Nothobranchius furzeri: one gene and its partners. The protein of the gene in region 7 purifies or fractionates together with the protein of the main gene of each other region. This does not show direct contact. Links are inferred from orthologs where the notes say so. Each region holds a gene or a part of one and is shown on either strand. Other genes may lie near its edges.

Region 1 (3,500 bases), on a different chromosome or scaffold from region 7:
GAGCAGCTGTGGCTACATCGTAGCTTATCACCACCAGTGAGTGAATGTGTGTGTGAATGGATGAATGATACACTGTAGTGTAAAGCACTTTGAAGTCCTTACTCTGAGAGGCGCTATACAAGTGCGGGTCATTTATCATATAAATATATTTACATCCCAATTGCCTGTATTACGGAAGAGGGTTAGGGCCACTGAAAACAAATAAAAAGAAAAGACAGAATTCTGACCTTTTCCTCAGAATTCTGACTCTTTATGGGATTATTAGTTAGAATTCTGAGGAAAAAAATTAGAATTCTGAGGGGGGGGGGGGGGGGATCATAATTATGAAAAAAAAATGAATTCTGAGAAAAAAATCTGAATTCTGAGATTACAGTCAGAATTCTAAGAAAAATATCAGAACTCTGAAAAAAAGAGTCAGAACTCTGAGGGGGAAAATAAATCAAAATTCTGAGTAAAAAAAAGTCAGAATTCTGAGAAAAAGTCAGAATTCTTTCTTTTCTTTTTTTCTTTTCAGTGGCCCCAAGCCTCTTCTATACTTTTTACATCTTAAACTCAGAAATGTAATACAATCCAAATTCACACATATTGTCACCTGTCATATTAACCTACATAAACCCATTAGTGGATTAAAAACATGCTTCAGTTCTGGTTCTTAACATTTGAAAAATGTGAGCCTGATTACGTGGAAAATCTCCACAGCAACAGTCAGTCAAGCAATTAGATTAGAGGTCACTGAGCTCCTTTTAGACAACACATAAGAAACAAGCTTTTAAACTTTTCCAGCTGCTCTTTAGATATGTTGTTTAAACCTGCCAGATAATCAATCAAACTAATATACAAATCTTGGAGCTTTTTGAGCACAAATAATGTTAGATCATACACAAGAGCAAGACTTTGAGTAAAGGCGCAGCTAAGGCCTCAGAGGTAAGAGTCAGAGCGGTAAGCTGGCAACACTGAAATGTAGTCATAACTTTTTATGAGTAATTTGATTTTGCAGTGTGTGTGCAGTACCTGCTCAGTCTTGCGTGTGATAAGGTTCCCAATTGTCTTGCTAAAGAAAGATGCCAGGAGCGGGTTAAGAGGGGATGGCTGCTCCAGGAAAGCATAAAGAGTTTCTAGAAGTGTCTCATCGTTGCCCAGTTTATCATTTATCACCCCCACATCACACGTGAGCAGCTCACATGCAACATTTGGAAACCTGAAATAAAAATAAAAGAAACAAAAGAACACAATCACACTTCATGTGCTCACATAAAAGTGAGTGTATAGCCGTTTCCATGTATGGACTAAGTTGATTATCACAGGTTTTGGCCATTATAAATGTGTGAATCTGTTATTTGGGTTAGGAATTTCATTAATTGTTTTTTCAGTGGTCTAGAACCATTTATACAGTTGCATGAAAACATTGTAATATAGTGCAGCACCAGCAAAACCCATTTTCCCCCTAGCTGTACAACTTCAGCACAAATAAATCCCTACTTGAAGCGCTTAGTCTCGTCTGCACCAGCAGGGGGCTCTGTCGTAGTCAGCCGAACCAGCTCCTGCATGCACTGGTCCTGGCACAAGAACTGGATGAGTCTAGAAAATCCATGATGGAGGGTAAAAGATCCACAAGTTATTAGATTTATGGCACTGAAAGGGCAGATGTCATTTTGTGTGCTGCTGTGTGTAAAAAAAAAAAAAAAAGACCTCCTGTTTTGGGCCTTGCACTCCTGCAAAACATCTTCTTCATCCAGGAGCTCAGAGAGCGTGACATCCTCCTTGTCCAGCAAGGTCTCCAGATGAGAGGATGTGTGCAAGTCGAACTTCCAAAACATGGCGGACGTCACCAAAACGTACACTTAGCTGAAGACAAATGGGGATTTAACATGGAGATTAAAAAAATAGCTAAGTTCTATCAGTCTTGAGTTTGTTATGGGGGGGGGGGGGGGGGATGGTCACAGGTTATAACGTGTGCAAAAACAAATTTCAAATACACACAAACAGGCTTTATAAATGTCGTACCTTCAGGGTAATCTTACTAAACATCAGACCACTCATGCTAGCAAGATGCATAAACTCTAAAGCGAATGCCTTCATCCTACTCGTGATAGACAGGAAAACATCAAAAATATTAAGCATAATTTGTCAGTGAAGCTCTCTTCTGTCTCCTTTAGAACTAATACACAAAGTCAGATTCAGTGTGGACACGTTTCTCTGAAAGGAGAAAGCAAAGTATCAGTAATTTAATTACTGGAGAACATTTATGCTCTGACATTACAGTGGGAGTGGCATTTGATGTCAGAAAATGGCAACATGGGTCAAGAATGAGGGTAAAAATGTACTGCAGAGGGTAAAAATTTACTGTAGAGTGAAACTTTATGCAGTGTCAGATGCTCTTCTTCGTTGTTGCATGGTTAACATCTGTGTTGGTACAAACTTGAAGTTGTCAGGGGATTATCTTATCTGAGATGTTTCTATGTAACAGCTTTACTCAGCTTATTAAACCACAGAAACATTAAGGGATCCATAATTGCCTAGCATTTATCCAGCCCATCATAAGCCACTAGGCTGGAAGCATGGCTGATAAAACATTAAGGCAAAACAGTGGCCACATATACCACCACAAACTATGTTTTTGTCTAAAAAGAAATACAAACAAATCAATTAACTTCATTTTCCTGATGCACACTGGGGGAGCACACTGCCCTAGTAGTACACAATCTCTTGAGCAAACGTGTGTTTCTGTAAACTAGCGTTAGCAAAACAATAAGTCGTGTTTTGTTTTTTAAATGTAGCTAATAAAACAACCCCACCATCTTTCACGGGCCTCTTTTTCGAGACTTAACGGTTAGCTATTAAATATGTCTGCTACAACAAGCTAACGGTCATGCCACTATAAACTAATTAATGCCCATTAGCTTATCCATACAACTTCAAGCTAACTCACATCCTCGTTTGTCTCCTGCGCTAAACGAAACGACGGTGCCTTTCACACTTACCTCGCATGCAAATCACAAACCATCCCCCTTTAGCATAAGCTGACTCGCATTGGTAACATGGAGCGGAGAAATGCAACGTTTCCAACCCAAACAAGTCGGTAATCTATCATAGCCTGAAGCTACAGCAGATATAGTGGGACGGCGTTCCTCTCATTCAGCTAAAAACAAGCCGTCTGCCAACTTGACAGCAAGGCAGGTTTACACAGGCTTCGCTTTACCTGACACCGCTTTCCCCCAAACACAAGTGACTCTTACCTCCGATCCATCATTTTATCATCTACAAGCTAAATAATAAAAAACGGAAGCTCGGTGACTCTAGTTGTCAGGTCACCCGGAGGCCCATAGCAGCATTTTCGTGACTCTCTCGTTAGCTTAACGGCACTACCTCTTCTCTGGAAGCAATGTCATTTACACTGCCGCTTAACGGTGGATGGTCTACCGTGAAGATGTGCTAGTATAGAGGGCTCATCCTGTCAAAAAAACAAAACAAAACAAAAAAACTGCTATTAAAACTGATAA
Region 2 (4,104 bases), on a different chromosome or scaffold from region 7:
CAGAGAGATGTAAAACATTTGCACAATTAAAGTTCCTTTCTTGTTTCCAATTATTTCCAGAGAAATTTTAACTGTTTTTGTTCAATTCAGTAATAAAACATCTGAGATGTTTAAAAAATATCATCTGGCTGCAAGAAGAAAAGTAAAATGCAGATAAAACCTGAAAATGCTAAAACTAGGGATGCAACGATATAATCCAAACCGATACGATACCGATACTTGGATCTGAGTACTCGCTGATACCAATTACAGATACCGAAACCTCTACCACACAAAAAAATGCAATGAATTGGAATACAGGTTTTATTTTCTTCTCTGCTTTCAATAGGAAAATAAAATATATTAGTAGAAATGATCAAAAACAAAAATATTAGGTGAACAGAAATGACAGTGAAGCCACTTTCAGGCAACTGCATTGGTATCGGTTCCTGTTAATGATTACCTTTCACCAATACTGGTATCGGCCTGATACCGTGCATCCCTAGCTAAAACCTTCAGGCGGATCCAGTACTGTTCTATACTTGATATAAAAACAAGCAAATGTTTCGACACTCTAAAGGATTTGGTCCTATCCGGAGCTGATCTCACGCTACACATCTAAGAGCTGGTTGGTCGGAGCGGGCCTGGTGAGGAGCAGAAACATGAACTAACAGAACACCAGTGTGTTTGTGTCAGCTGCAGGCATCAAGGCTCGTTCAGCAGCAACAAACAGGATTCTAATCCTCACATGACTCTGCACTAACAGCAGCTAAATAAGAGGAGGATGCAAATAGATTTCCCAAATACTTCCAAAGAATTTCTTTTGGAAATATCATACCTCAAGGTAAACGGGATTACAGAAAAAACAAACGAATAAAAAATGAAAGAAAACACCAGAGGCCCTAAGCTGCAGCAAATTAAAACCAGTAATTATGTGGTAGAAAACTCTGCAAGAGCTCAGCGACTCTCTGAAAACCAGTCAGAAAATTTAATTATGTACAACAAAACTAAAATAATAATCCAAAGATTATCCTGCTTCATTTGGACGATGGTGTGAACCAACGTGCCCAAAGACGTCCTCTCCAGGTAATAAACTGACTTGAATGACCAGGTAAAGGTAAACATGACCACATTTAAACATCTATTCAATATGGCAGCCTGAAGCACCTCACAGAGACAGCTACAGACACTGACGGCTGCAGATGGCCCAGATACAGTACAACACTTACTGCAGAGTATCAGCGGTGGACGGTGTTACTCCTGTTGATCCAGTAGGGAAAATCTCACAAGCAGGACATGAAAATCTGTGGAAATTAAAATGCATAATGAAGAAAAACCTTTCACTTTGAAACATCCTCATACCTTGCAAACAGAAGAAGCCGTATTTATAGAGATGCAGGCTAGAGAAGCCCCTTTGATTCCCTGGCAAAAATAAATGTAGTGGTGATCACAGCGGCGTGCGCGTGAGCTGAGACACCACCAAAGTCAGACCCAGAGAAGCCTGCTGGATATCACGGATGGATGTGAAAGCAGATCGTCACAGAAAACCAAACAACTTTCATATCTCGTCTTCAGGGTGGTGATGGAGAGGTGCATCCAAAACACCAGCAGCCCTGGTGAAGTCCTGCTGCCACCAGAATCCGTGGCTCCTTTTACCACAACCCAACATCTTTTAGTGTTTGAACTCACTAGATTAGTATTTTTCAAGAATGAGATGTTAATGCTTTCTAAAGTAAACTGTATATAAAGTCTTTTCTCTACATGGTCTGTTAGGAATATCTCAGCGCGCTGCCCAACAAATGGTTGCAAAGGTCATCTGCTCCTGCAGAGACTGAAACCTGAGCTAAAGAGGTCAGTGGATGTGGCAGCTCGGGAGAACAACACATCTTTTCATGAGTCCGAGACGAGTCCTTACAAACAGACACAATCCCGTCCAACTCAACGAGAGCTGGGTCCTGACGCCCGGCCTCGGCTCTGCCGCCGCCTGATAAGGCCTATCTGTCCCACTCACGTCTCTGTTTACAAGCCTACGAGCGGAGTCTGGCTGACTTCACGCGGAGGGCTAAGCCTGTTAGAGCTACTCCTGTCCGTGACAGGCTCCGGGCTCTACATATGGTGTTAGCATGCGCAGCACCACTAATGATTAATTTTACTGTTTTACTGGCAGTTTGTTGCTCTAATAATAATAATAATAATAATGGTTGCGTTTAAGTGTGAAGACAGCTGAGACAGCATCATCTAACTAGCTAGCTAGCTAGCTGTTACAGACTAGAGAGAGCCAGCAGCAGTGGTGGTAACATCCTATCAGAGGAAACTCGGCTGCGTTCGCTGTAGCTAACGTTAACGTCAACAGTTAGCATGCTAATCTTCAGCAACATTAGCATGCTAAGGCTTAAATGTAAGTGTTATTAGGATTTAAAGTAGCCCTGTTAAGTACGGCAAGTCGGCTCCTATCAGTCGATGTTTGTCATTAGTTGCTGCACCGCACCACACCACAGCCCAGCAGAGCAGCGCCGCTCTCTGCAACTGTTTTTGTTATGAGATGGAGGGCGGACCCCGGGACAGAGGCCTCTGTCAAAACACACCGAAGGCTCGCCACAGCCGGTGAGACTCACCCGTGAAAGGAGCGAAGTGGTCAGAAGCTCGCGATTCACCCGAAGCCCATGCAAAAACTCAAAAGGAAACTGCTCTCAAACAAACGGGAATTAGTCATATCCGAGCTGAAGCCAGCCTCAGTGCGTCCTCTTCCAGCGCCGAGTCTTCGTCGCCATCGCCGCCGCGAAATCGCCAGCCCAACAACATTCGCGCTTGTGACGCAACGTCGTCAGTGCGACGCTGCGCGAGGGGGCGGGGCTCGAGCAGACCACGCGGTCCGATCATGTAAACACTGGATGGGGTTTTCCCCGGTTTGCCGAAATAACAATGAGACCGTGGCGCTGTACACACACTAAAGCGAGAGGAAGGGGTTGGTATTTTAGCATCCATCTGTGGTGAATCTAAATGTGAGCATGCCTAAAGAATAAAGAAATAACACGACACAGCAAGAGCTTAGTGATGTCTGACTGATGGCTTACATAGGTAATTTTATTTCCCAGAGGCTTGACATACCATTGTTCACTCGTTAACATTTGACAGCCTAACACGTGAGGCATTACAGTAATTTCAGCCTGCAAGTCACTTCTTTATTTGCTCTCCGCTGACTTTCAAAAGACGTTTTCTCCTTTAGGTAACCTCCCACACCCAGCGTGTAAATGTCGTCACAGTCCCAATCGCCCTATTCAAATTCCGCTGACTACCTCCATCATAATTTAGTGACCAATGTCAATTGTTAAACCCATTTTATGTGTATAGCTCTTGTAACAATATAAAAAAAGCTTAGCTTTTTCTGAACTGAGATACAAAAAGTCCCACACCTCTATGATCACACTTCACCACTAAACATATCTGTGAGGAAAATGCATGAGGCATATGATATGGCACAAAATTATTTGGGTTTAAATAGTAAACTGGAAGCCATCTTTAAAAGGTCATCGTTAACTTCCGGTTTTCAAAGAACTGCAATGACTTTGCAAGAGCCATAATTATCAGCTGCACCATGCATGGACTTCACAGTTGTAAAAAGACCTTAAGTGCTGAATCAATGTTCCTGTTCAAAAACAATAACACAAAAAACAGTCCATCACCTTGTCATGAGACCAGAATGACTTGCATGCAAAACAATTAAATGAGCTTTACATGAGAAGATGATGGTCAAGGTAAATACATTTCTTTTTCAGTCAGGTATCTATTACTATAAAAGACAATGAAGTTTTCACATAAGAAATGCCACTTCAAATCATACAGCATATTATGCACAAAATATGGTGGTAAGAACGCTAGCTGTAAAGAATCTGTAGCTCCAGTAGTGAACTAAACAGTGTTTTAGAGAGCAAGTTTACAGATTAAAAATACCCATCCTCCTCTTCCAGGCAACTCCAGTCTACACGCATCTGTGATGAATTACAAAACTGCATCAAACCACTGTTCTACGTGACCGCTGAAATGCTCATAACCATCCAACTTCCTCGTGATTATTTACTAAACGGTTATAACATAGTCGTTCCCTACATCAAGTGTTTATTGTAA
Region 3 (3,500 bases), on a different chromosome or scaffold from region 7:
ACGAGGCTACATGGGTCACCTTACCAGAATAGCCAATTCTGTGGTTCATAACAGTGAGAAAGGTCCCAATGGACCTCAGATACAGCAGCTCATCTCTGGTGAGGACTCACACTTTTCTTGTTGTCTTTAGGTTTAAAACAACCAGCAGAATTCATTTGATTTGTCAAACAGAGCAAACACTGTGAACAGATCAGGATGAAAGTTGTTTGAGTGAAATCTGGGACACCGGGTTTATGGAAGTCCGTTTGTGTCACAGAGTTACCGGCAGCGGACAGAGAGAAATGGGAGGCGTTTATTTCTGGGCAGCTCGCTGACACAAATAAAAGAAACACAGTCGACCTGGTGAGTGACCTTATCGACATGCTGCGTTTAAGTCTAATCCCAACCATTTGTGATATATGTAAGATAACGTTAGAGGAAACACAAGAGCTAATGAAAGGAAACCTGAATTTTCTCTGGAGGAAGCTCCCTCTGTTTGTCATTAACACATTAGCTGGGGTTTCTAGCCACCACGTCAATGAGATAATGTTTAATTCTGCTTGGTAAGACTCGGTGAAACGCCAGTCCAGCAGGAGTAAATAGTTAGCACGGTGCCTGATATAGTTCTTGATGAGAAAACAGAAACTGCCAGAATTTGATTTGGCAGTTTAGTGAATGCCAAAAAGCATTTTGATCCATTAATTAAGTGTTGGATCTTTAAAAAACAGTCGAGTCTGACACTAAAATGGATATTTTCTCAGGTGAACACACAACACATTCATTCTTCCAGTGATGATGAAGTGGACTTTAAAGACAGTGGCTTTCACCAAGACTCCTCACTTCAACAGGTAAGACCCAGACACACTCAGTCCAGACCCACATGTGCAAACGGTGTCCTCATTCCAGTTAAGTTTGTCAGATCATGTAAATGTTTGTAAAACTCTTCTGTAACCGGTTGCAGTAGGGGGACGTATTGAGTACGTAGTTTTAGTAGAAAGATGTTGCCATTAGCGGTAATAAAAGGACCGTTTGTATTTGTGAGCTGCACAGCTTAGCTTAGTGAGTTTCACTGTTGGTCCACTTTGTTTGGGTTAATTTTTCCATTAAATAATGAAGTGTTATTTGCGTGATTTAAGTGCAGCAAATAAAAGTTCCTAGGCGAGTTTCTGCACGGACGCTGTATTGAGTGACGCATGATGGCTGCACACGCCCAGCTGCTACTGGAGCCCGTAGAGACGCTGAACGGAGCGTCGCTTCGCCCCTCCCCCTCTCAACAGTGTGCAGACACACAGCGGCAAAACTGTAAACAAACATGTCTGCTGAACTTTCCCCTGGGAAAGCATCAGCAGTCAAACACAACACTCGTCTGTATGAGCGTGACTCTCATAGCTGCACAAATGACCTGTGAAATAGTTAAAGACATCATGTTAGATCTGTGATGACTCCTGGTTCTGATCACTGCAGGAGCCGCTTCGGATATTAAATATAATAATAATAATATACCCAAAATTATCAAACCGAGCTCTTCAAAACACCAAACCAATGACGATTTTAGCGTACCGTTACACCCCTATGAGTTCAGATGTATAACATCCAAATCCTCTGTGTCCGTTTGCATCACAATAATTATTTTCCACTCGTACTCAATAACTCTCTCTACTGCCAAAGTTTCTCTTGTTTTAAAATGCTTTTACATGCATGACTGCTAGTTTAGAGTTTGTCTTTAACAGCATTCTTGACTCCTCTTATTTTTAAACAGCAGAATATGATTTCAGACGGAGTCCTAATGTATTTGAACAGCCAGACTCTGGGATTGTTATACGTGTTTAGGCTTTTGCTGCAATGAGGAGCTGTGTTTAGAGCCAAGCTTAAAAACTTGTTGGTTTTGGGTTCTGCCAGGCCTTTTCTGATTATCAGATGCAACAAATGACCTCCAATTTTATTGAGCAGTTCGGCTTCAACGACGAAGAGTTTGCAGATCAGGACGATGTTGTGGAGTGAGTACTCATCCTGCATGGCTGCACTTGTCTGAACATTACTGTGCAACTCTGAAGTAACACTTAGTTATATGGGGTTTTATTCATTCATTCATTATATAATCTCTTATTTGATTTGGTAAGTAATAAAATGTCATGTTTTCTGTCTCGCTGGACCCGCCATCACATCTACACAAACAATTTACACATAGCTGAAACGTGTCGCTTCTTGGTGAAAATCAGCATTTTTGAAGCCACATATGGCTCTTTCTAAACAAACATTTTGAGGGAAGGGTCACACCTTCCAAGTTTGCAGGTAATGACAGAGGCACATTTATAACAGCATGTCACCTCATTTTGGTGTGAGTAACTGGATATAATCAGTAGTGTTTTTCTTTCAGTGTTCCTCATGACCCAAGTTAAACTTGTCTTTCTTTTTGACGTTGCAGTATTCCCTTTGATAGAATATCAGACATCAATTTTTCATTGAATACAACTGAAAGTGTAAGTACTCTGATTATTGATCCTAGCAGTCTTCTTAGAGGTGCATATCTGAAACCCCACCTGCAGCCACTAAGGGTGCTTCCTCTGTTTTTTGTTTGTTTTTCCAGACAAATCTAGCTTTGTTTGAGGCTCGCTGTAAGGAGAAAATTCAGCAGTTTGATGATGCCGGTTCAGATGAAGAGGACATTTGGGAAGAAAAAGAAGTCACCTTTGCTCCAGAGTCGCAGCGACGTCCAAGGTCATACACCGAGCGCCAGACCACTTACTCTGCTTGTTTAACCTTTGGTCTATGCATGACATCTTTGTGTCCAAGTTTCATGACAGTTTTTGAAATTACTATAAAACTGCATTATTATTGATTAGGGCTGCACGATATTAGGAAAACCTGCGATATTCGATAACGGTGCTTAATATTGCGATATCGATATTACTCACGATAAATGAACAAATACTAAAGTATGCAGTGTTGATGTCGTCTGGCGTGTGACGTCTGCTCTGGGTTCAAAGCAAACAAAAACTAATGCATGAATTCCATTACAACATAACATTTTTATTGCAAAAATATGCAGCTGCACCTGCTACTGTATTAGCAGCAAAACAACAAACTGCATGCATGCAGGTTCTCAGTGACTTAAAAACATCACCTCCACCATAAAACTTTTTCCTGATGCTCCAAATACAGAAAAACATCCCTTACCAGGATTTTTAGAATAAATAAAAAAAAAATCTGAAAATAAGTTTAAATGTTAAATAATAGTTAACATCACTTAAATGCAACAGCAAATTCTCTCATTGCTACTGAGCATTTTCTCCACTTATGTGGTTATGATATAAGGCTGCTGCTGTAATTGGAAAGTGATCTGTGCTGGGCCAAACTAGGAGAGTATTAAGATTTTCTGAGGGAAAGAGAAAAACAATTGTCTACCTTTCAGAAGAGGAGCTGGCAAAAAAAAAAAACTACATGGAAAATATATGAAAATGTTTGTTTTTAACCCCAAATTGAACAAGTTTACCTAGATCTTAAAAAGCAGCTCAGATGAT
Region 4 (3,500 bases), about 10 Mb from region 7:
TGCACAAGGAATATTTTGGCCACAGGGGGCGATGGGAACTGGGTGGCCTTTCATTAACCTTGTAAATGTTCATATTAGCACATACTGGCTCAAGAAAATCATGTAAACATATGAAAAAGTTGCAAAGTATCCCTTTAAAGGTGTGGTGCATTTTCCACCTCTAGATGGTGCCTTCTGACAAAAAACTCTTTGATTTCTGCTTCAATGGAGGGTAATCATGACACTTCAACATTGTACTCACCACCAAAATATCAACAGCAGCACAAAAACACAAGAGATCACATTTAATTAGCATTGTTCATTATCATCAGCACTACAAACCCAGTCTCCTGAGAGGGTAGTAAATACCGTAAAGAAAGCCCAATAAAACTCTGAGCAGAACCATCGGTACACCACGGGTGCAGATTTAAAGCCCGGGTGAAGTGAGATGGTATTGAATCTGTGCCGACTCCTCTCACTCAGGAGGCTGGATTTGCATCCGTACAGCGTGGCAGACATCTGCCCATCCTACCTTGTTTGCCAGCCCTGTGATGCTGACCGCCATTTCATCTAGCAATTTGCCATCTTTGACCTGGATGAGCCAAATTAGGATTAAAATCTTTCAAAGTCACAAATGCTGATAGTCAGTAAGTTTGCTACAAATATTCTGTTGTGAAGATTTATCTTGTTCAGATGAGGAAAGTGATTTTGTTTTAACGGCACTAATTAAGACAAAAAGTGACACAGGTAGACACACACATACCACACATTTGTTTAGTTAGCAACGCCAGCTGTACATTAAAAGACTAAATCTATTCGCCTTAATCTTTCTGGATTTCTAAGCACCCAATGAGATTGTTTTGTTTTTTCCATAATTTCATGAAGTCACTTCTAAGGTGCTTTTTCGGTATTTGTTTAATTTAAAAAAAAATCATTGTTTTCCCATTTAAACACATCTCAGCAGCTTCTCACTTGATAGTTAAAACTGAAGGTGTTAAGCAGAAGTATTTATTTCAGAGAATATTTACCATCACCTTATATGGTAAGGTAATATTTAGGTCAAAGAAGAACCCAAGTAGAGAAAGTTTGAAGTCAAAACATCTGCAAAGATGTACACAGATCAGCTGACATGTGTCCGTGTCTCGCTGCTGCCGACAAACCGGCTCTGACAGAATGTAAAACACCCCGAGTACTGATCTCTACTGTTGGGAGTATAGATCAGTTTGCTACCCACCCCATTTCACCCTGTTGGGCAAATACATGTAGCTGTTTAAATGGAGGATTGCTGGTGCCATGTCAGAGGTGTGATCAACCTGTAGAGATGTTTCAGCGTTAATACCAACCTTTGTCTTCCCTCACAGAAACGAACAGACTTCAGCTCTCAGAGGCCTTACCGTTACGGCCGATCAGTGTACAATTTTCAAACGAGGAGCTGCCGATTGTGTTTATTTATATAAAGAGAGTTCACAAAAACAATCTCAAAAACTAAAAATTATTTTCCATTTTTTGGGATCAATAAAGACCGGCTTAAGGGTGCAGATTATTTAAAGATTAAACCTGATTTAGAAAAACTTATCAGTTAATTTATTCCTGAATAAAATATGTTTGCTAAATGCCACCAGTGTATCTTTGTAAATAACACTGAACTGTAAAGCTCGTGTTTCACAGTAAATTAACTGTAAGATGAGACAAGTGTGGACCAAAAGCATGGATAAACCAAAACAGATCTGGAAAAGAGGTTTGTTGATCTGTGGAACAGCTGCTCAGATCAACCATCTCCTCTGTTCAATAGAAAAACTAAATTAAGCCCTAAAACACATCAGCCTTTTACAGCATTTAGTATAAAATAATCCCACACCTAAATTACTTTCTACTTTAAATACAGGTCAGCCTCTCATTCAAATGATAAAAAAGCAGATTTTTTCTCAGAAGTAAAAATTAAAAACGGTTATTAAAATGTATTTAAAACTGACAAAAACCATTTAAAGCTAAATCCAGGGACTGTGTTATGACTTATGGACTCAGATGTTCTCCGATAAACCGTTCACAGCTGGATTTGGCCCCAAATCTACCAGCTGAGTCACCGACAGGCAGGAGAATTTTTTTGGCCCATTTAAGACTGAAGACTTTGTCTTTTAATGTAAGCTGGCACAGCAGAGATAAAGATGAAGAGCAGCACAACGCAGAAAATAGCACATTCACATCTGAAGCTGTTTCTTGTCTAAAGCATTGCATCCCACCACCAAATCAACAACTTCAAACATCAATGTTACCTTTTCTTGAGTAGGTTTGATAACATTCTCATTTAAAGTCTGTCCTAACTCTGTGGCCTAGTTGGGAGTCAGAAAGGAGAGTTTACTTCAATAAAACATTTTAACGTTCACATTCCAGCACGATGTTCTTCAGCTGCATCAAGAGAAAGAACATTTCTATTCACAGAGACAATGAAAATCAGCCTCTAGAGGGTGTAATGGTCAAAAAGATAGAGCTTTTAATTAGATTACTTTGTAAGGACAGCGCTGAATCAACATTCATTATTCTCTGGCTTTCAGGTTTTATGGTTCACATAAAATCAGAGCCTTTTTCTACAACTGTTCCCAAAAGTTGTGAAAATGACTCAAATATAAATCAGTGTAGTTTGTCAATGTTCTGAGTTAAAGACCAAGTTCACTTGTTTTTCAACACAATTGCAGTGGTCTCTCATAAACGAATGCTTTGTTAGACGATCTCTGTGGGAAAAAAAGCTCTGGCGCTCATGTTTCAGAGTAGGAAGCAGAACATGGCAGACTTGAGTCTTATGGTGCATTCGATTTACCTCTGAAGTCCGAACTGGGAATGACGTCACACTCGAATAAACCGCATTTTGGTTGCCGTAGTCAGAAAGGTCGAGATTTCATTATGGCGATATCCTGGAAAACTGCTGTTTTGTCAGTTCTCAACGAACGCAGACGACTAATAAACACATAAATCTACAAAACATATTTGAAGAGAAAAGCTTGCATGCGCTACGTGTACCATTGATTTTAAACAAACTCTTATGTGTCTTGTACAATAAACACATTTCAACTAAAACTGTTGTTGATACGAAGAGCTGCCATTTAGGATGTCTAGGTCAAAGTTCTGAAATTCTTCCCAGTTTCCGACTAGGAGGTCCGACTTTGGGGCCGTTTCATTTAATTTTTTCTACTTGGAAGTCGGGATTTCCAAGTTCCAAGGACAAATCGAACGCACCATTATTTCCTGATATTTCTCACCGCTGATTGGCTAACAGCAACACGACTACCACCGATTCCATATACTTTGCAACGTTGATGTTTTACCTCCACAAATAACACAAGCCTGAAGGAGTTCTGCTGTGTGGTGGAGTTGTTAATGCTAACAGTTAGCTTCTACTAGCCAAGATTTTCTGTTTCCTGGACACTAAACCAACACCAGTCTTCCCCATCGAGAGACAAGATGGATCAGTCCATGAAAGCCAGTTCAGTGCGAGGTAGATCTGCGTTGCTTTTCTAATTCAAACA
Region 5 (3,500 bases), on a different chromosome or scaffold from region 7:
ACTTTTGGTAATTTACAGAATCTGATTTGATCTGTCAACTTTCAGGGTTTAGTATGTTGCCTGATGTAAATTACAATTTCTAACTAGAAAATTCCTGAAGAATTTTTAAAAAGGGACCTGCCAGCTGGCACAAGATAACATTCATACACATGTAAAAAAAATGCCTCTTTAGAAGGCCTGCCATCAAATTCATCCATTATTGTGCACATAATTAAATCATAATCATGCAAAGTTAATGCAAATTTAGACACACTCAAAATGAATAAAAGAATATGTTTTTTGCTAATAATTTCACCATCATAAATCAAAATGCTTAGAAAAGTAAAAGCACACCTCCCACTGCTGAGCCGTTTATTTTGATGTATAATTTGTGGGGGTGCACGCTGCCGCTCGAGCCGCGTTAACGTCCGCGGAAGAATAATAACGGATATTAATATCTAAAACTCCCCAGGTGCATAACAATAAGGTCCCTGCTTGCTGCAGCAGCAGGTCCCTTAATTATTAAGAACGTACTTAAATGAGTAAACTTTAAATTTTATTTGATTAAAGATGAAACAGCAGCTTTCTTTTGGATTTTAGATATTTTAGAACTGTGTGGAGCGACAAGTTTGGAGCTGCAGCTCTCATCTTCTTTTACAGTGAAACAATATTTAGCTTTTGTATTTGACGTATTGTTTTTTCTGTAATTTGACAAACTTACAAGAGAGTTGTTTACATTTATCTCTGACGTTGTGGCTCCTGTCCCAAAACACAATCACACCCATCACTGTTGCTTGTCTGCTGCTGAGCAGCACAATCGGTTTCCCACAAGCTAATTCTCCACATCAATAATATTTAATAACTTGGCTGATTTTATGGAAAGTACTCCAGACAGTTTAAGAGAAGATGAGGAATAACAACCAATGCATTAAGCATAGCTTAAGTGTTCTGTTTGTGTTTTGCAGAATGTCAAGACCATCCCCTCCTCAGACAGCCTAGCGAAGGTTCAGGAGGTAGCAAGCTGGCTTTTGGAAATGAACCAGGATCTGCTGTCGGGGGGCAGCAGCAGCAGGCGGAGCCGGGGCCCCGGGGGTCAGGCAGTACGAGGTAACGCCTCCTCTACGGCCCGGGCACCCCAGCAGGCAGCAGAGGAGGGTGAGGAAGATGATCACATCAACCGGGTGGTTGAGGAAAGCGAGCAGCCACAGCAGAGGGTGAGGTTTTTTTTATTTTGTGCATGTTGGAACATAAACTGGGTTTCCCTAAAAGGTCATTGTTATTCTTCTCTGTGGCGTTTTGCAGCCGGATGCGTCACAGGTTGATGATGAAAGGGAGCAGCCATGGGCACCCGCCGAGTCAGGAGCCAGCAACGGCCCTCAAGGAGAAGCAGACGAGGAGGAGAGAAGAGGAGGCCAGCTAAATGAAGTGACCGGGGATTATAAAGGAGTCCGATGGGTGTGGGGAGCAGAGCAGAGAGCGCTCCGAGGCCAGCCGCACCTCGAAGAGGAGGAAGAAGAGGAAGAAGAGGAGGAGAACAACAATAGCAGCAGCCACCAAGAGGAGGAGGAGACAGAGGAGAGGACAGAGGGAGGGGAGGAACAAGGAAGGGAAGAGGAGGAGAGGGATGAGGGTGAGGAGGAAGAGGAGGAGGAGGATGACGAAGAGATGGACCAAGACAGTGATGAGTTTGAGCAGGAGGAGGAGGAGGAGGAGGAGGTGGGAGATGGGCTCCGCTCCCCCACTCTCAGGAACAAAGTGTCTGCCCCCAGGAATAATCAGGACTCGCTCTTCACACACCAAAGTTCTTCCAACAAGAAGGTAAGCAGCTTAATGGATCCTGTTAGCCGTTCTGCACGTCTGTGAGTAGCTTTACAATCACATCTGGCCAGATGTTCCTGTAGTCTCACAAACTTCTGAAAATGTTCTGCACCAGCGCTGCATTGTTGTTTGAAACAACAGCGCCACCCAGTGGCCAGAATGCTCCAGCACTGTAAAACTCAACACTGTTAGTCAGAAACTTGTTTCATGTTTGATTGGGAAACATGATTTTATATCTGAAATCCAAAAATGCACATCCTGTTTAGCACTTGTAAAGAGTAAACTGTTCAAAGTTTCATGTGAAAGAGTGTTTAGAGTAACACACATTTGTGTTCAGCACCATTTCTTACATTTAGATCCGTATAGTTTTTATTCTTTAGTGGATCCTGTGATTCAGACGCTGTTCTCCATTACAATTCTGTTCAATTCAGTCAGGTTTAGTTCCCCTGGGCCTCTTGTGATCTGACACAGCTGACCGACCAGGTGTGTTTATCAGGGCCTTAGTCACTTGTGGGCCATTCCCATCTGTACCGGGTCGGCCCGGGCCGGGTAGCGTAGGTTGTTTACATATCTGGGTAGCCTGGTATTTTTCCGGGCCTACCAAGGCTCATTCTCAGCCCTCTTCTCGAGGGGGTCTGCTTCAGGCCGACCAGGGCCAACACACCCACTGCTGACAGCAAATTCACACCTTCCATTAGAGCAAGCCTCTGATTGGTGGGTAGAATCAGCCCACATGGGCTTAAGACAAGGATGTGTGGAATCAACCGGGCCAGGCTGGGGCCGACTGGGGCTACCCGGCCCGGGCCGACCCGGTACAGATGGGAATGGCCCATTGGAGGAGCCATCTGGCTTTGCACACATTCTGTTGAGCTGTGGTTAAATGTGCATGGTATTATAGAAGGATCTGTTATGAGTTTAAATTAAAAGTTTCATTAATAGTTTATTTATAACTTAGCAGTTTTCACAACAGAGACCTTTTGTGATTGAGCTGGTTGAGCTGTGTAAAAAGAAACTGACTAAGGCCTGATGTGCCACCAGATTAGGTGGCTTATGACTCATCACAGATGGGTTCTGTCATGGATTTGATCAGTAAGTTTATCAATAACCTATTTCCCTGTAGTCGGAGAGAAAAAGGAGACAATGAACAACAAGTCAAACAGTTATAACTGTGGCAAGATGCCCCAAACATCCGGTCTCATAGTTTATTTATATATATATATATATATATATATATATATATATATATATATATATATATAGAGAGAGAGAGAGAGAGAGAGGAGAGAGGAGAGAGAGAGAGAGAGAGAGAGAGAGAGAGAGAGAATGTGTGTGTGGGAAGTAGGGGTGGGCAATATAAACGAAATAAGGTAGAAACGATCTAAAATTGGGTAATGATAGTGTTTTTGGCTAAATTGCAATACCGCGATATCGCAAAAACACATGACGTCACTAAGATGTGCACCCTGCTGACATTGGGGCAACAGAATGGCAGTGACTACAAGCATGGATTGGGCGGAGGAGGTGGCCTATGTACAGTGGGGCAAAAAAGTATTTAGTCAGGCACCGTTGTGCAAGTTCTCCCGCTTAAAATGATGACAGAGGTCAGTAATTTTCATCATAGGTACACTTCAACTGTGAGAGACAGAATGTGAAAAAAAATCCATGAATTCACATGGCAGGATTTTTAAAGAATTTATTTGTAA
Region 6 (3,500 bases), on a different chromosome or scaffold from region 7:
AATAGTTGATGCTGCCATGAAGTTTCCCCCAAAAATGTAATGCTTGATCAGATTTTGCTGTGATTTCCTAAGAAGACGAGTTTGCACAAAACATCATAATTACAGCGCCTGCCGCGGCTCCTAATCACAATCCCATAAAAACGACATTACATCCGTCGTAAAGCTCTCGACACAGCAATGATTCAACTAAATCCTTTCCTTCCACGGCTCTGAAACATCAGAGTGGAGACAAAAACCATCTAGAGAGGGAAAAAATGAGGCTGGCTTCAGATATAAAGTTATTGCATATTAACATTGTGTTTGTGTGCTTGGAGGTTCCACAACAAACTTCAAAGTCCTCTTGTTGTCGTAGCTGGATGTCCTCTCGTCACCATAGGGAAGTGTCAGCCAGATCACTGGAGGAAGGCACAAAGCAGAAAGTGTGTGTTAAAATTCAAAAGAACACACACACACACACACACACACACACACACACACACACACACACACACACACACACACACACACACACACACACACTGGTTGAATAAGGAGGCTAAGACTGCAGGAGCAGCTGAGTGGGAGAATGAGAGCCTTAACGATGCTGAAAATTGGCCCGTGACTATGGCACACCCCTCAGGTAAATCATTGCTACAGCTTGCTGTCAAATTGTCTGTCCCCTCGTCCTCCCATCTTACCCCTCCAACTCTGTCTCCAACAGTCTCCCCCGCTTCACCCTGACTCAACTTCTTTTATGAGCACATATTCAAAACTTCCATCTTCCAGCCACAGCGAGCCTGTCACAGTAAATAACGGCCCGCGTTTTGCCCGTGAGCATTTGCAGGCTCTGAATTCAGTGAGAAGCTTCCTCTGTGAGGCCAGAGAGGCAAAGTAACAAACTGTGCTTCAGTTCGTATAATTAATACGTTCTTCCACTTTGGGAATCATTTAGAGTGTCACTTTTAAAATCCCGGGAGAAAACATATTTCTTACTCCACCGCGTTTTGACGTGAGCTGGTTTGCAGGAGTTTATTATCCACACAAATCAACTCACGAGCTCTTAAAGTACAGCAGAAGTTTAAAACCAGTCATCATGACGGAAAGATCCCTACAACTTTTGGATTAAAACCAACTGGCAACACTTTACAATAAGGTTCCCTTTATTAACATTACTTAGTGCATTATTAAACATTAATAAACAAAGGGTCTCTTTAGTAACACGTTACTGTTTACTATCAAGTGTGCTTAAGGTTAGGATACATGGCAAGGCAGAATGTCTAATTGGTAATGCATCACTTAACATTATTATTAAGCAGTTTATAATACTTTATGAAATAGTTTATTAATGCTTAATAATGCACTAAGTAGCGTTAATAATGGGACCCTTATTGTGAAGTGTTACCAAACTAATTTTCTTATCTGTTTTTCATCATTAGATATTTTCCTGCACCAAAACATCAGACTGTTGAGTGTTAGAAAGTCCTCATTTCTGCCTAAGATGCTATAAAACTAGTAATTAATTTGCTAAACCATCTGTGACATTTATTATTTTGAGGTCACAAAACTAAAGTAGCAATGGCAAATCTGCAAAACAATCTAGCTTTTAAAGGGCAAGTCACCAGGGTCTAACTCCACTCCCATTTCCTGTTTGAAAAATACGCCACAAGGAGGCATTGACTGGCAGACCGAGAGGCCGGAGCCTCTAACAAAACAAGCACACACACAGGCTCACAGCGGCATTGTGACATCATATGGTATCAGCTAATGCCATAGTGTACATCCACTAGCGATGTCAGAGTTAAATTAAAATGTAGTGCATAGTTTTTACCTGAATACTAACAGTTTTAGGCAAAATATTAAAAGTTTAACTAAGATGCACTAAAGTACTAAATTATTGGCTACACGTGTCTACAGCACGATCAGACACTCGTTTATGTAGTTTATCAGCAAAAAATGTTTATTTGGGGTGACTTGATCTTTAAACACAAACACCTCACACCTCCTGTTGGCTAAGCCACACCTCCATGATGTAGGAAAGCACAGCAACAGGAAACGAGAGAGAGCCAAACAGCAGTTGCAATTTTCTAGGTCCAAACGTCTTTTGCTTTCCACAACTCAAAATGTTGCTTTTCCTTTTGGGACTCGGTGAGACAGACAACCGGATGGTCCAATCGCTGGTTCCAAACCAAGCCGTGTTATTGGCTGATATCTTTAGACAAATGTGAGAGAACCGCTTCACTATTTTTTTTTTAAACTTCAGTGTACTGTATATGTTTACAGAACTAGAGGTCGACAGATATTGGTTTTTCTATTGCGGACGCAGATATGTAGGAGGCATGGTAAGCGGATGCACTGCAGGTTTTCAAGGGCCGATTTTCACAGCCATTACCAAGACATTTTCCACCTTATCTTCATGCTAAAATGTCACTAATAACATCAGTTGATGCACAAAATATCTGAAGCTGAATGAGATTTGGAACTCTGAATTTAACCAACTGTTCAATCTTAACTTTGTGCACTGCTCACTGTTACAGACAGCTAAATAAAATAATTTTGAGTATTTATTATGCAGATGTTATTAGTGAACATAAAAAAAAACATTTAAACAAAAATCTGCAACAGCACCGGGCAGGAGGCTCCTGACTTTAAATCGGCTTCACTGATATCGACCGATACAATATATAAAAAAACAGTAAATATCAGCCCGATACATCGGTCTACCCCTAGTTAGAACGTTGTTAAAAAAACGTTTTGAGCTATCTTGTTTTGCAGATATGCCATTGTAGCTTTAAATACATTAAAAAATCAGTAAAAACACAAATACAGCAGTGAAAATATGCTCGTAAATATGAGTTTATGCATTCAGGATCCCAGGGGTCAACAGAGAAATAAACCCTGCAATCGCCAACTTAGCTCGTTATTATCAGACTGATGCATCAACGTGTCGATTTTTATTGTTGAGAATAACGAGGGCAGTTTAGCCTAATTTGGAACACATAATATAAACGTAAACATCAGTAAAATGTTCCAACTGTAACTGGAGCGGTTCTTAAATTTCATGTGGGAGTTTGTACCTGAGAACATTATCCTTGTAGTCAGCCAGCAGAAGGGCCGTTTCCTCTCCAGAGCTTTTCCTTCCACACGGAATTGGATCAGATTCCTCCTCCTACACACACACACACACACACACACACACACACACACACACACACACACACACACACACACACACACACACACACACACACACACACACACACACACACACACACACATGCTTAACTCATATCTCTCCAGCGGCTATTACAGACTAATAACTTGTCAACTAGCAACCTAATTGCCTCCATGAGATAATGTCCGTATCAAACGACCCGCTGCCCGTGTTTAACTGGTGTGCTTTGCTATTAGCATGAAGCCGTAGCTCATTTTCAGTATCACATATAATTAAACTATGGCCACGATGAACGGATCTGATAGGGCGTCTCACCGAATCCGAGCTGTGTGCCTGAGAGTCGGCGGTC
Region 7 (4,155 bases):
AGGACCCCCAGGCTCCAAAGGTCCACCTTTTCATCATGGGTTTTGCCTTCAATCATTTCTGGGGGCAAGTAGTCAAGTGTTCCACACAGAGTGGACCTTCTGCAGGGGTAAAAACATTTCTAAAATAGGACTTTATTATGCAAGGACAGAAAAGATCGTCACACAAAGAAAAACCAGACAACGATCCTCAACATCAGCAGACCAGAGCCCATAAAACACAGTAAGAAGTTGCATTAAACACATCTGCGTACCTGGATGAAGGGGTGTGAACAGACCAGCCAAAGTCAGCGATCTTCAGCTCCCCGTTGCCTCCCAGGAGCAAATTCTCTGGTTTGATGTCTCTGTGGATCACATTCTTGATGTGGCAATAGTGGAGAGCATCTGCCAGCTCCATAATGTACTAATAACACAAAAGAAAAAACAGTAAGTGGAATTAAGAGTACACCTTCAATAAACCTGTGGAATGTTGACTGTGTTTGAAGTTTGAAGTGTTTTTAACTTACTGTTGCACTCCTGTCTTCTGGGAAACTTCCACACTTCTGCAGCTCGCCGTACAGCTCTCCCTTAGGTGCAAACTCAAGGATGAGATACACACGGGTCGCATCATGGAAGTAGCCATAGAGACGAAGGATGTTCGGATGCCTGTATGAAACCCATGCAGGAGAGAATTCTGTGAAACTGTCTTAAAGGAACTCAAGACAGAGGATAAAGTTTAGATTGGTGTTTTATTGTAATTTTCACATCACATCACCTGAGATGAGACTGAATCTCCACCTCTCTCCTCAGCTGGTGTTCCACCCCAGCCTTCTCAAGCTGGTTCTTGAAGAGCACCTTCAGGGCCAAGATGAATTTAGTCTGACGCTCCCTCGCCAAGTAGACGTTCCCAAACTTGCCCTTCCCCAAGGGACGGCCGATATCGAAGTTTTCCAGGCACCACCGCGTTCTGCATTTACACAGCAGTACAGAGTTAGAAATCCTATTCTGATCTGTTGAATTATTGCACAAATAGAATGTAGAATGTGCACTTGACGTACTTTGATGGGGCCACCTGATTAGTCTTGGCAGGTTTGTCTTAAAAAAAAAAAAAAAAAGGATATTTTAGTGTCTACAACAAACACTTGCTTATTCTTGTTTATTTTAGAAATGTGCATACTCTGTGGCTTTGCCTGCTTTGCAGGATCAGAGGGAGGCTTGGCACTGGGTACATGGGTCGTCGGCTGGTTTTGCTGGGAAACAGGCTTTGGTTGTGGTGGATTTGAACATGGTGTAGCAGGGTTTGCATTCTGGTCAGCAGGCTGTTTTGACTTAACAACAGAGACCTGAGACACTGGTTTCTGATGACTGACTGGCCGCTGAACGCGCTGGGGACCATTGGACACACCGAGGACTCGTGGCTGAGTTGGTGTGACAACGGCCTTTGAGTTATGCGATACAGGAACACGCCTCGGCCCGTCACCACTGGACTGCAATCACAAGAGGTCATTAACTATTAGAATCAGATTTACAGCAATTTTACACAAAGTGATGAATGAAAAAATAAGTAGTAGGTCTAGAAATATGTAGTTTTAAAAGATATTTCATACTTCTCTACCAACATTCTGGTTTGGATGTAGATCCAATGACAACTTTTAAGTGTTTCATTAAATTCCCTCCAGTGGTCCATGAAACGTTTTTGCAAGTTAAGTAAGCGAAGATGTTCAGCGTTATAGTGGTGCAAGATTGGGAATTTGGGATTACTCAGACTGTCGCACCAAAATTGAAGACCATGTATGTAAAAAAATGTCTGAGCTAGTCATTTCTGTGATTGCTAATCTTGATTAGCTGTGGCAGCCATCTTGAATCAAGAGTTAAGTTAGTCAATCCAATGATTATTTCCCAAGTTTAGCTGTGAACTACCCAATGACTCGTGAGATATTCCAATAACACTAGAGACCAATCAACACACAAGCCAACAATAACAGAACATTTTGCCATCAATAATACAAGATTGAATGACTGACTTTTCTTTGTACATTACTTCTAATTAATATTTGCCCACATATGCTTGTGTAAGGCACTACGTTGCTAAATTTAAGTTTAACCCAGAGCCTCAAGATCAACATGAGATTTACGTGTCAACACCTGGCTGACTGTTTTATATTAAACTAGACTTGCTTTACCTTTACAACAGGCCTTGGAGGTTTCACGAGCCCTGCAACCTTCAGCGTGGTGGAAGAGTCCATAGTCTGAGAAGACATCAGGTATAACTCAAACATGACTAAACTCCACCACTACTAAAATAAAACTCTCGTGGCAGCTTTCTTCAAAATAATAGTGACAAAATGTAAAAGTAACCCCCAGCATCCACTCTGGCACGGTCATTCAAACGTATAAAGAGAACAGCTTCGCGTTAGCCTAGCCTAGCATAGCTGCTAGTATGTCAAGTCGTCTGACACAACTGCTGGTAATAAAGACAGGTTAGTTTAACTACTCACCTAAATAGTATTGCACGATAACCAAATGAGCAGCAACTAGTTGATTGACCCTAAATGAAAGCAGCCCCCGAGCAGGTAACCCTTTACCCAGGCTTGCTAGCAGCTACATCGATCGGTTGAACAGGTAATGTCGATGTCTTCTAATTACATGTAAGGCAAACAGCAGTAATCAAACAATGTAGCAATATCCGTGTCGTAAACTATGGTTTGAAATTAGCTAACAAATTTTAGTCACGCAAAAGTGCGTACTCTGAGGAAAAATGCTTGTCCGGAGGACACTTTCCTTAATCGCAGCCTGTTTAATTTCAAACGTCCCTCTGTTCAAAACCTTTAAAGAAACAAACGGCTTTCATTGGTTGAATGAATGCTCTAAATTCGCCTTCCATTGGCTGTTATGATATGAAAAAAAAACGGAAACAGGATGACGTAAAAAGAATCATTCCAACCGGTAGGGGGCAGTAGAGGAATGGTTGAATATGGAGTCCAGGAAAAAGTGCTCCTGAAAATATCAAATTTATACCTTTAGCAGTCCACGTTTGACCAATTTCCCAATTGTTTACAAATTTCTGATACATGTGTGCACTTCACACATTTTTCATTTTATTTTTAAATAATCGAATTTTGTATTGATAAGTGGAGAGGAAAAGCTTTTTTTACAGTATGGTATTTGATGAATAAAAATCTTGAAAAGATAATAAGAACTAACATTTGACAAAGCAATACCACTGGACACTGTTTTTCACATAGAATTGACATTTTATTGCCACATCATGCACTCGTGCACTTTCCACAGACATCTATGCAAGCTACCTTTAACGTAGAATGTGTCCTAAAATTTTACAATCAAGAAACTAACATTGCACTTCTTAAAACAGTTTTACAAAATAAATATATTAAATGTTACAAATGCATACAATAAAAAAGTAGTGCAGCCACTTGAAGACCCTCTCAAATGCACTTTGTAACCATTCGAGAATTTAGATCAGCCTCCACAACATGTGCAGCAGAGCTTTGATACTAAAATGTGTCACTGCAAAGGCCTCAAGATGAAGGTAAACAGACAGGATCTAGTGTGGAAGCTGATAAACTGGTCAAGTTCCTGTTGGACACATTAATGTCCACATTACAATGGCGCAACACTTGAGAAGGTCTTCTAATTAAATATAAATATGGCAAAAACATTGATCCCTTCCATTGAAATAAAATAACTAAGTTATAACAGAGTACAGTCAGAACCAAGTTGCTTGTTACAGAGAGGCGTTACATGAATGCGGTCCCACAGGAAAAAACTTGAGATGTTTTTCAAACATAAACAGACATAACTGTTAAACTTTGAATCCTCATATTTTAGGTCTCACCTTAGCTAATCAAACCGCACTTCTTACATTTATAATTGACACAAATTGCATTTGAAATCTGCTGACAAAAATATTTCTGCCATCTTAGTTTATTTGCAAACCCCTCCACAAATCTGGTTTTCTTCATACTATTTTCTACCAGATGAAACATTGTTGACATTCTGAGGTTGTTACAAAATAAAAAGCACATCTGGCAAAGGTGTGTGCGACAATCTGGCTAAAACGCTGCATCTGCTTTGGCACTTGTTCTCCTTTCCAGTTCCACCAGGTGCCTCTGAAGTCTTCTTGCCAATCCAAACATACAATGGCGGAGGTATTTAAAC

The links.
Region 1: the proteins of aurka (region 7) and ppp6r2b purify together in Homo sapiens (affinity purification with mass spectrometry; 4 studies listed by BioGRID and IntAct, counting the BioPlex papers as one, with this or other methods). This does not show direct contact. The link is inferred for Nothobranchius furzeri from reciprocal best matches to the Homo sapiens genes AURKA and PPP6R2.
Region 2: the proteins of aurka (region 7) and mtmr3 purify together in Homo sapiens (affinity purification with mass spectrometry; 3 studies listed by BioGRID and IntAct, counting the BioPlex papers as one, with this or other methods). This does not show direct contact. The link is inferred for Nothobranchius furzeri from reciprocal best matches to the Homo sapiens genes AURKA and MTMR3.
Region 3: the proteins of aurka (region 7) and ppp6r3 purify together in Homo sapiens (affinity purification with mass spectrometry; 6 studies listed by BioGRID and IntAct, counting the BioPlex papers as one, with this or other methods). This does not show direct contact. The link is inferred for Nothobranchius furzeri from reciprocal best matches to the Homo sapiens genes AURKA and PPP6R3.
Region 4: the proteins of aurka (region 7) and arfgap1 purify together in Homo sapiens (affinity purification with mass spectrometry; 3 studies listed by BioGRID and IntAct, counting the BioPlex papers as one, with this or other methods). This does not show direct contact. The link is inferred for Nothobranchius furzeri from reciprocal best matches to the Homo sapiens genes AURKA and ARFGAP1.
Region 5: the proteins of aurka (region 7) and fbxw7 purify together in Homo sapiens (affinity purification with western blotting; 5 studies listed by BioGRID). This does not show direct contact. The link is inferred for Nothobranchius furzeri from reciprocal best matches to the Homo sapiens genes AURKA and FBXW7.
Region 6: the proteins of aurka (region 7) and calcoco1a purify together in Homo sapiens (affinity purification with mass spectrometry; 3 studies listed by BioGRID and IntAct, counting the BioPlex papers as one, with this or other methods). This does not show direct contact. The link is inferred for Nothobranchius furzeri from reciprocal best matches to the Homo sapiens genes AURKA and CALCOCO1.

The regions. Positions count from the first base shown.
Region 1 is NC_091744.1:70,734,890-70,738,389, forward strand, and holds part of ppp6r2b (serine/threonine-protein phosphatase 6 regulatory subunit 2), read right to left. Parts: intron 3,388-3,500; exon of another isoform or gene 3,237-3,387; intron 3,122-3,236; exon of another isoform or gene 2,982-3,121; intron 1,846-2,981; 5' UTR 1,818-1,845; coding exon 1,690-1,817; intron 1,579-1,689; coding exon 1,480-1,578; intron 1,199-1,479; coding exon 1,012-1,198; intron 1-1,011. UniProt on the Homo sapiens protein: Regulatory subunit of protein phosphatase 6 (PP6). May function as a scaffolding PP6 subunit. Involved in the PP6-mediated dephosphorylation of NFKBIE opposing its degradation in response to TNF-alpha.
Region 2 is NC_091757.1:28,521,842-28,525,945, reverse strand, and holds the start of mtmr3 (myotubularin-related protein 3), read right to left. Parts: upstream 2,801-4,104; 5' UTR 2,595-2,800; intron 1,284-2,594; 5' UTR 1,209-1,283; intron 1-1,208. UniProt on the Homo sapiens protein: Lipid phosphatase that specifically dephosphorylates the D-3 position of phosphatidylinositol 3-phosphate and phosphatidylinositol 3,5-bisphosphate, generating phosphatidylinositol and phosphatidylinositol 5-phosphate.
Region 3 is NC_091754.1:42,088,315-42,091,814, forward strand, and holds part of ppp6r3 (serine/threonine-protein phosphatase 6 regulatory subunit 3), read left to right. Parts: coding exon 1-98; intron 99-256; coding exon 257-342; intron 343-740; coding exon 741-827; intron 828-1,878; coding exon 1,879-1,976; intron 1,977-2,404; coding exon 2,405-2,459; intron 2,460-2,566; coding exon 2,567-2,697; intron 2,698-3,500.
Region 4 is NC_091743.1:50,667,414-50,670,913, reverse strand, and holds part of arfgap1 (ADP-ribosylation factor GTPase-activating protein 1), read right to left. Parts: intron 2,310-3,500; coding exon 2,253-2,309; intron 572-2,252; coding exon 512-571; intron 1-511. UniProt on the Homo sapiens protein: GTPase-activating protein (GAP) for the ADP ribosylation factor 1 (ARF1). Involved in membrane trafficking and /or vesicle transport.
Region 5 is NC_091747.1:80,809,342-80,812,841, reverse strand, and holds part of fbxw7 (F-box/WD repeat-containing protein 7), read left to right. Parts: intron 1-944; coding exon 945-1,193; intron 1,194-1,281; coding exon 1,282-1,797; intron 1,798-3,500. UniProt on the Homo sapiens protein: Substrate recognition component of a SCF (SKP1-CUL1-F-box protein) E3 ubiquitin-protein ligase complex which mediates the ubiquitination and subsequent proteasomal degradation of target proteins.
Region 6 is NC_091755.1:25,999,863-26,003,362, reverse strand, and holds part of calcoco1a (calcium-binding and coiled-coil domain-containing protein 1), read right to left. Parts: coding exon 3,467-3,500; intron 3,146-3,466; coding exon 3,054-3,145; intron 396-3,053; coding exon 368-395; 3' UTR 1-367. UniProt on the Homo sapiens protein: Functions as a coactivator for aryl hydrocarbon and nuclear receptors (NR). Recruited to promoters through its contact with the N-terminal basic helix-loop-helix-Per-Arnt-Sim (PAS) domain of transcription factors or coactivators, such as NCOA2.
Region 7 is NC_091743.1:61,016,374-61,020,528, reverse strand, and holds the start of aurka (aurora kinase A), read right to left. Parts: upstream 2,801-4,155; 5' UTR 2,724-2,800; intron 2,677-2,723; exon of another isoform or gene 2,475-2,676; intron 2,226-2,474; 5' UTR 2,223-2,225; coding exon 2,160-2,222; intron 1,464-2,159; coding exon 1,154-1,463; intron 1,072-1,153; coding exon 1,035-1,071; intron 944-1,034; coding exon 752-943; intron 643-751; coding exon 504-642; intron 401-503; coding exon 252-400; intron 100-251; coding exon 1-99. UniProt on the Homo sapiens protein: Mitotic serine/threonine kinase that contributes to the regulation of cell cycle progression.